Canis lupus familiaris: one gene and its partner. The protein of the gene in region 2 purifies or fractionates together with the protein of the main gene of each other region. This does not show direct contact. Links are inferred from orthologs where the notes say so. Each region holds a gene or a part of one and is shown on either strand. Other genes may lie near its edges. The genes, in order: YWHAE and SSH1.

Region 1 (3,910 bases), on a different chromosome or scaffold from region 2:
AAGCAGCCTCTCTGCTGGGCAGGGAGCCTGAAGGTGACTGGATCCCAGGACCCTGGGGTCATGACCTGAGCTGTAAGCAGATGCTTAACCTACTGAGCCACCCAAGGGCTCCCAATCTCCTTTTTTTTTTTATTTTTATTTTTATTTATTTATGATAGTCACACAGAGAGAGAGAGAGAGGCAGAGACACAGGCAGAGGGAGAAGCAGGCTCCATGCACCGGGAGCCCGACGTGGGATTCGATCCCGGGTCTCCAGAATGGCGCCCTGGGCCAAAGGCAGGCGCCAAACCGCTGCGCCACCCAGGGATCCCCCAATCTCCTTTTAATTCCACATCTATTGCACACCCTACCACATAGTTTATATTCGAATCTGAGCTTCAGTTTTGCAACCAATATTTATTGAGTACGAGGTGCTGGGAATCCACTAGGAAGCAAAACAGGCCAGTTCTTTCCCGGTCCTGCCTCCTCAAGCTCGATTTAATCTCCGTCCCACTCTTCCACACCCTGCACTGGACAGGAGACTTCTCTAACAACTTCCTTGTTCCTATCCATGATGGGCTTAAGGCCAAAAAAAAAAAAAAAAAAAACCGCGCTAAAAAGAAGAAAAAGATGGCAAAATGGGAAGGCGAGTTGAGGTGTGAAAACCGGGAGGCCCCTCTCCCCTACTATTTATAGCAGACCCTCACTCTTTACCCCGAGTGGAAAGGATGTGAAAAAGGCCCAGCACTGGGCTTGTTTGAGAAAACAGGGGCCAGGTAGGAGAGAAGTTGGGTTTCCTGAGGAAGGCCTGCCATTACAAAGACCACTACAGGTTTCTCCGCCCCCTGGTGCAGGGGTCGGCCCTCGGTTCACGGACCTGGATCCCTCACTCACTCGCTCGCTTCAGGAGCGGTCCAGGCGGGGCCCCCCACCCCGCCCTCTCTCGGGGCTGCTCTCCTCCCAGGCGTCGCAGTTCCCGCCTCAGCTCTCCAACACCCGCGGAGCCCGTGGAGGAGGGACGTCTAGCTGGTTCCAGCGTCTTCGGGCTCAGAGCTCCCGGACCCGCCCCCCGCGCCAGTTGCCAGGGAGCGGTTGCCATAGAGCTGAGCAGTTGTCCGCGTGCGCAGGCGGAAGTCCCGGATTGAGGCGCCGCCATTTTTGCTGCCCGGACACGGAGCGAGAGGCTGAGAGAGTCGGAGACGCTATCCGCTTCCATCCGTCGCGCAGACCCTGCCGGAGCCGCTGCCGCTATGGATGATCGGGAGGATCTGGTGTACCAGGCGAAGCTGGCCGAGCAGGCTGAGCGATACGACGGTAAGTTGGGGGGGCAACAGGGGGCTGGAATTGTCGGACCCTCTGCCGCCGCCCACAGAGGCCGGGAACAGGAGACAAAATGGCGGCATCGCCTCCGAGCCTGGCCGGGGATGTGGATTCGAGAAGTAGGAGATGGCCTGTGGGCTCCCGGAGCGGTGGCAGGCCCCAGGCCCAGGAATTTGATCCCTTTGGTCTCCTCCGCTGCAGACACTGGCGGGCCAGGAGGCCGAGGCGAAAGGGTGGAGGAGTTGGTTGTAAAATGGCGGCTGGGGGGAGGGCGAGTCCCGGGGCGGGGGAGGGGGAGGAGATGGCGGGTGTTATCTCCCGGCGAGCAGTCCCCAGGGGAGCTTCTGGGTCATCTTGGGATGTGGAGAACAATTGGGTGGGGTGATGGGGGAAAGAAACACTCGCCACATGGGGGAGAGTAGCACCAGGAGCTGCAACGCGGACGCCTATCAGGGAAATATGGCGGGTGGGGGCGGTGGCTTTTCCCCGGAGGCCCAGTGTGGGGCGGCGGCTGTGGAGGCTCACAAAGGAGAATCCTTGCGAGCGGAGGGCAGCTTTGGGTGCGTGGTGGAGGGCAGTCTTGGATGAGGGCTGAGGAAGGACCGTGAGAATCACTGCAGTTCATCTTTGAGCAGAGGCCAACTGAGATGCTGCGATCGGATTTCCTTTCTGTAGGCCGGCACATCTCGTGTTGAGGGTATTCCAGGCTTTATGTTCAACCTCGCCTTCTGGGGAGGTCTAGAAAAATCTCACGATCCCTTTCCTCAGACTTACCCTGGAGAGCTCAAAGTTCCTGTAAGCATTTTCTTGCACCGTTAGTTACGGGTTCTGGTGGATACAGCTTTGTACAGGAAACAAGAGACCATGGCTTAGTCCCTCAATTGCCCAGGCCTCAGTTTACCAGTCTTTAAAAATGATGACTTTCGTGTTTACACTAGACGCGCCGCTGTGACAAATGGAAAGACCTGTTGGAAAATAAAGTTATTTCAAATAACGTTTAGTAACTGTGTTTTGGTTGACTCCCCGGGCTTGGAATGGGTGTTTATACTTCATTGGGAATCTTAACCTATCCCAAGCAATCGCCCGAGGCTTGGGTTTTTGGATTTTGAACATAAGGCTTCCCAGCAGATCCTATTTTATTTTTTCTATTTTAAATAAATGGCTTTGTGTACAGATTTGAACAGTTCTTTGTTCATTGGTTCTTTGCCCCTAAAGGTTCTTTAGTCCTTTTTTTCAGAACTTGATCGAAATGTCCATTGTGTCCGTTTAGTCAGTCTCAGGCTGCTGCTTTTTAAAATTGCCCCCCACTCCCTCCATTTTGGGTCTAGGTACTTGAATTACCCCCATATCCGTTAGATTGTAGTATTATAAAGACACAAATTCTTATATGTGGCTTCTGTGGTTTTAATGCTGTCTGGGGTGAGACAAGGTTGGAATCAAGTGCCATTGATCTTCAGATTTTTTTCGTAATTACTGTGAAGCCACTTTTTCAAAACATTATGTAGGGCCCTTGCTTTCCTTGAATGCCAGATTGGTCATGTGAGTAGCCTCAGGGGTAGTCCCAGTACATCCTCATACCTTAGGATTCAGGAATTTGAAAATCAGGAAAAAAGCCCAAGAACTCAAAATGAGGAAAAGCGTAGTGCACTAAATTTCGTTTTGTAAATCCTTAAATGTCTGCAGTATTGAAGGAGATTCTTGTTGGGAGGGGGAGGGAAAAAAGATGAGGAAGTACAGCTCAAGGTCAGATTTGTCCTTAATTCAGTGTTTAAAAGTGAAACAGTGTAGGTGTGCTGGTAGTGGAAGTTTTTTTTCTTCTTCCCCCTTGTGCACCAAATGGGTTCCTCTGGTAATGCATTGGTGTCCTTGGGAGAAAACTTGAAATTATATTTGAGTGCTTTTTGGTCTGTAAGGATTTAGGCTTTGGCTAAACTTTCTGGGATAACGAAAAGGACGTGGAGGAAGGTTTTTTGTGTCTTTCTTAAAATTTGTTTTAAAAACTTAATTTAGAAGCCCCTGGTTGTAGCTTTCAAATAAGTGCCAGTTTAGTGATCATATTTTGTAGTTGGGTGCTGCGGAATTTTAATGAAAGTCCTTTTTTGGTTATTCAGCATAGCACTGTATAGAGAGAGCCACATCATTAAGTTATTTAAATGTTGTGTCTCCTTCAGGATATAAAGGGGGAAGAATATAGGATCTACCAGGTAGGAGGGACTTATTGGAAAGGAAGAAAAGGAAGGCAGTCATCAGGAATCAGCCTCTACCTGTGTCCATTCCCTTATTGGGTGCAATAATTAACTTTTGTTTGTGGTGACAAAAATTCCCCATAGTTTTAGTCACCGAACAGTATGTGGTTGGGGAGTGGAAGAAAGGAAAAGTGAGTCTGAATGATTTGGGTTTGGATGCTTTGACGTAAGGACTGGCTTTTCTTGTTCCTGCAGTATCTTTTATTTTGCATACTCTGTTGAACCTAATACTTCTGTGTAGCATTATTTAATTATATTTTGGGGAATTGGAATCAATTTATATGGATTACTTAATCGTACTAGAGGAAGAGCTAAGTTGTGTTCAGGAAAAAGACACTTGTGGGTTGCAGATAGGAAATAGGAAG
Region 2 (3,810 bases):
TGGGGCCTGTCCATTTGATGGGCCTGGGAACAGTGCACAGAGTAGCCATGCGGACAGAGAGAGGGGAAGAAGCTATGTTTTGGGGGTTCGGTCTGTCTTCCCTACTGTTTCTCACATCTCGGCAATGCCCAGGCAAATTCTGGGTTTTGGTGAGAACTGGGGTTCTGAGCCCTCAAACCACGTGGAGGAAATTGGACGGGGCCTCTGTGTTACTGACTGCAGACCAAGGATGGAGAGAGTCTGAGAACTGCCGACGTGGCCTATGTCAGAGAGCCTTCAAACAATTCCCCACAGCTCAACTGGGAGCCACATCTCAGACATCTGGCTTGAGAGCAAACTAGGGCATACCAGAGGAAGGGGGTCAAAGACAGGAGTTCCCAGAACAGCCAGGATTGAGGTTCCAGCAACACAAATTCTCTCCCCCTCTCTGACTTTGCTGCAAACTTCAAACAATCAAGGTTTGTTGATTTATGTTCCCCCAACCAGACCCTGCCGTGCGCTGTGCTTCTTACAAGATAAAGGTGGTCGAAGATAAGGGAGGGCTTGTCCATCTGTCCCAAGATAAGGAGCATCTCATTGTCTATGAATTCTTTAAATTCTTTCAAGTTACAGTTCATCTGCGTCTCCAATTCATTACGGATCTGTGGAGTGGAAAACAGCAGGAAAAAGTGATTTGTCATAAAGCAAAATGACAGTGGCCCACCTCCAAAGAGGTCAAGTCACCACTTCAACTGCGGTGGTTTTCAAAAAAGGTGTTTTGTTGGTGTTGTGGTTTGTTTTTTTACCCCATAGTAAGCACACATGCAGGTGGTAGAGATGCAGGACCCACAGCCTCAAAGTCAGCCTGACTGGGAAAAGCTGATTATTTTATATGAAGAGGCTGATTCACATGGGATCTCTTCTACTCAGTTAAGGCACTTATATTTTTACGATTAAATATCAAATATATGGGACGCCTGGGTGGCTCAGCGGTTGAGCATCTGCCTTCAGCCCAGGGCATGATCCTGGAGTCCTGGGATTGAGTCCCACACAGGCGCCCTGCACGGAGCCTGCTTCTCCCTCTGCCTGGGTCTCTGCCTCTCTGTGTCTCTCTCATGAATAAAATCTTTTTTTAAAAAAATCAAATATATCACAGGCAACACATACTGTTAGTTTTCATCTTGCTTTGGGAGGCATCATAATATGATTTTTTTAATGTGTATTAACTAATAAAAGATGATATATGGCTTTTTTTAAAAAAGACTTTATTTATTTACTCAGAAACAGAGAGACAGAGAGGCAGAGACACAGGCAGAGGGAGAAGCAGGCTCCGTGCAGGGAGCCCAACGTGGGACTCTATTCCGGGACTCCAGGATTGGGCCCTGGGCTGAAGGCGGCGCTAAACCGCTGCGCCACCTGGGCTGTCCTGATATATGGGTTTTTTAAACGGCCCTTCCAAGCCCTTATATCTGCCTAGTTTAAGCTACCATAATAATTCATTGCATTCCTTGAACCAAAAGCAACTGAAAAAAGAAAAGTGATCCAGAAAAATTTTGAAGGCACAATAGAAGGCAGTCCAGAGTCAGTAACTTGCTGGTAAGTGATAATCCTGAAGTAAGAAACAAGATCTTGTTTGCTGTATCTCAGTAAAACACAACGCAGAGGAAAGGACACTAATAGAAAAACGTGTCTCGGTGCAATCCATTGCAATCCACAGGTCTCGTGAAATTATCACCAAAGGTCTTGCAGGTTCAGAGAGATCAGGAAATTTGCTCAAGGCCCCATCAGTATGCAGCATAGCTGGATCCAAACTAGAGTCAGACTCTAAAGCCTGCGCTCTCTCTGCTAAGCCCTGCAGGGGGAAAAAGCCTCTGAGAGCCGCTGAGCTGACCAGTAAGGAAGGCCTCTCTGTGCTTTGGGCAACAGGATAAATGAACACTGTGTGACCTCTGGCCTACTAAGGGAAGAGCTCTCTTACTTCTTTTGAGGTCACATTTTCTAGATCCTGGCTCATCATGATGCTCCGGAGCTTGGCTTTGATAAGGCGCTCAGTCCTTTCCCCTTCGGTTGGCCTGGAAAGAAATGACATTCAGTAAGTCGCAGAATGACAAAGAGCCTGAGATCAGTGTTTACAGAAACACCAGATGCTCTCAGGCTACATAGAACATGGCCTGGACTCAGAGAGCTACCTTCTTGGTGTGCATGTTTTTGGGAGGAGGGAAAAGGGACAGAGTGGTCCTGCTCTGTGTCTGGAACTTCCATGGGAGCCCACAGAGTGGTGAGCAGATGGAGAGCACAAAACAATGGCTGGAAAGCATATTCCTTGTGCAGATCTGCAGAGAATCAGGCTCTCAGGACAAGACGCTGGGAGCACCAGAGTAACGTCCACCCACCACCTTCCAGACCCTTCTGTCTCTGTCTGAACACGTCTGGGGGTGGGGACATCACTGTGTCTAGAGGCAGTCCATAGTCCCAACTATGTCCGGCTCCCATTATCTTCTTCTTACATAGAGAATCTGTGTTACCCTGTAACTTCTACCCATCAGCCCCTGGTTCTACACAGACCAGGATTAATTCTTCCACGGAGGCCCCTTTTATATATTCAAAGGCAACTATCATTCTCCCCAACCCTCTCATCATTTGGGGCCTCACAGAATGTGGCTTCCGGTCCTCTCCTCATTCAAGTTGACCTCTCTGCCCATAGTCCTTGTAACACAGTCCCAGAGGGACGCACAGGAGTCTAGGGGAGGAGGATCCTGACCAAGATAGAAGCAGAGAGCCATTTCCTTTTTCTGGACCTGGACTTGCACTTATGCAGCCTCAGGCTGCATGAGCTCTGCCGGTGGCCACACGACATAAGCCACGTGATTCACTGTTGCAGCCTCTCAGGCAGGCTGCCTTTGGCCAGCATGGAGGCAGTCGTGTTTTGGGATCCCAGGATGAGGGATGTATAATACTTCTAAGAATAGAGGAAAAGGCTTTGGGAATTAAGTCTCTGGCCACGTGGAGACGAAGGGGTAGATCCCAGAACACTGCCCAAGAGCCGGTGACACATGTGGGTCCCACTTTCCTTTGAGAAGCTGATGGGCATTATGGAGCTGCTCCCCAGAGATGCACGCACCCCCAAATCTGTCTCTAGCTTCACAAGTGGGGTGGCAGTCACGGATCCTTCTCTAAGCTAAACATTATCCGTGGGCAGTAGGTTAGGAGTCCCTGCTTGGAATGCTGGTCCTGGGCAGGAGACCCTCAATCAAGAGCTACGGGGAAGTGTGACTTCATGCGACTCAGGGACTGGCCCAGCACAGGGGTGGGCAAGGGTGAAGGCGAGACAGCACTGCACTTACTTGTCCACAAACAGGGCCGGGGAGTCAGGCCGTGTGGACTCCAGGTCCTGCATGGCGTTCCACTCATTGATGCAGCTCTGATCGGAGCTGATGCAGCTTTCGTAGTAGGCAGCCCAGATGAGAGCCACGCCCCCGGGGAAGTAGTTGTGTCTCCGAGCCACTTCGCAGGCCTTGTGAAGGACCTGCAGGGCAGACCTAGGGTAAGGACAGGGACAGGGTCAGGCCTGGGGAGGTACAGAGAGTGCTAGGCTTTTACCTCAACACAGGAGTGGAGAACGGGGCAGGGTGATCCCTCAAGGACTCACCTTGAGTTGGGAGTTGCTGTGTGTATAAGGTAATGTGGGGAACACAAGGCGGCCCAAAACCTCCAGGCTGCCAGGTCACAGAGCTAGTCTCTGAGACATGTGCTTCAAGCCCGAGGGTGGATAGGACAGCCGTCACCATTCCCAACAAGGACACAGAACAAACTTCATAACCCTCCCACCCA

The links.
Region 1: the proteins of SSH1 (region 2) and YWHAE purify together in Homo sapiens (affinity purification with mass spectrometry; 3 studies listed by BioGRID and IntAct, with this or other methods). This does not show direct contact. The link is inferred for Canis lupus familiaris from reciprocal best matches to the Homo sapiens genes SSH1 and YWHAE.

Annotation. Positions count from the first base shown.
Region 1 is NC_049230.1:45,528,575-45,532,484, reverse strand, and holds the start of YWHAE (14-3-3 protein epsilon), read left to right. Parts: upstream 1-1,106; 5' UTR 1,107-1,229; coding exon 1,230-1,293; exon of another isoform or gene 1,294-1,933; intron 1,934-3,910. UniProt on the Homo sapiens protein: Adapter protein implicated in the regulation of a large spectrum of both general and specialized signaling pathways. Binds to a large number of partners, usually by recognition of a phosphoserine or phosphothreonine motif.
Region 2 is NC_049247.1:18,469,023-18,472,832, reverse strand, and holds part of SSH1 (protein phosphatase Slingshot homolog 1), read right to left. Parts: intron 3,519-3,810; coding exon 3,324-3,518; intron 2,052-3,323; coding exon 1,958-2,051; intron 642-1,957; coding exon 513-641; intron 1-512. UniProt on the Homo sapiens protein: Protein phosphatase which regulates actin filament dynamics. Dephosphorylates and activates the actin binding/depolymerizing factor cofilin, which subsequently binds to actin filaments and stimulates their disassembly.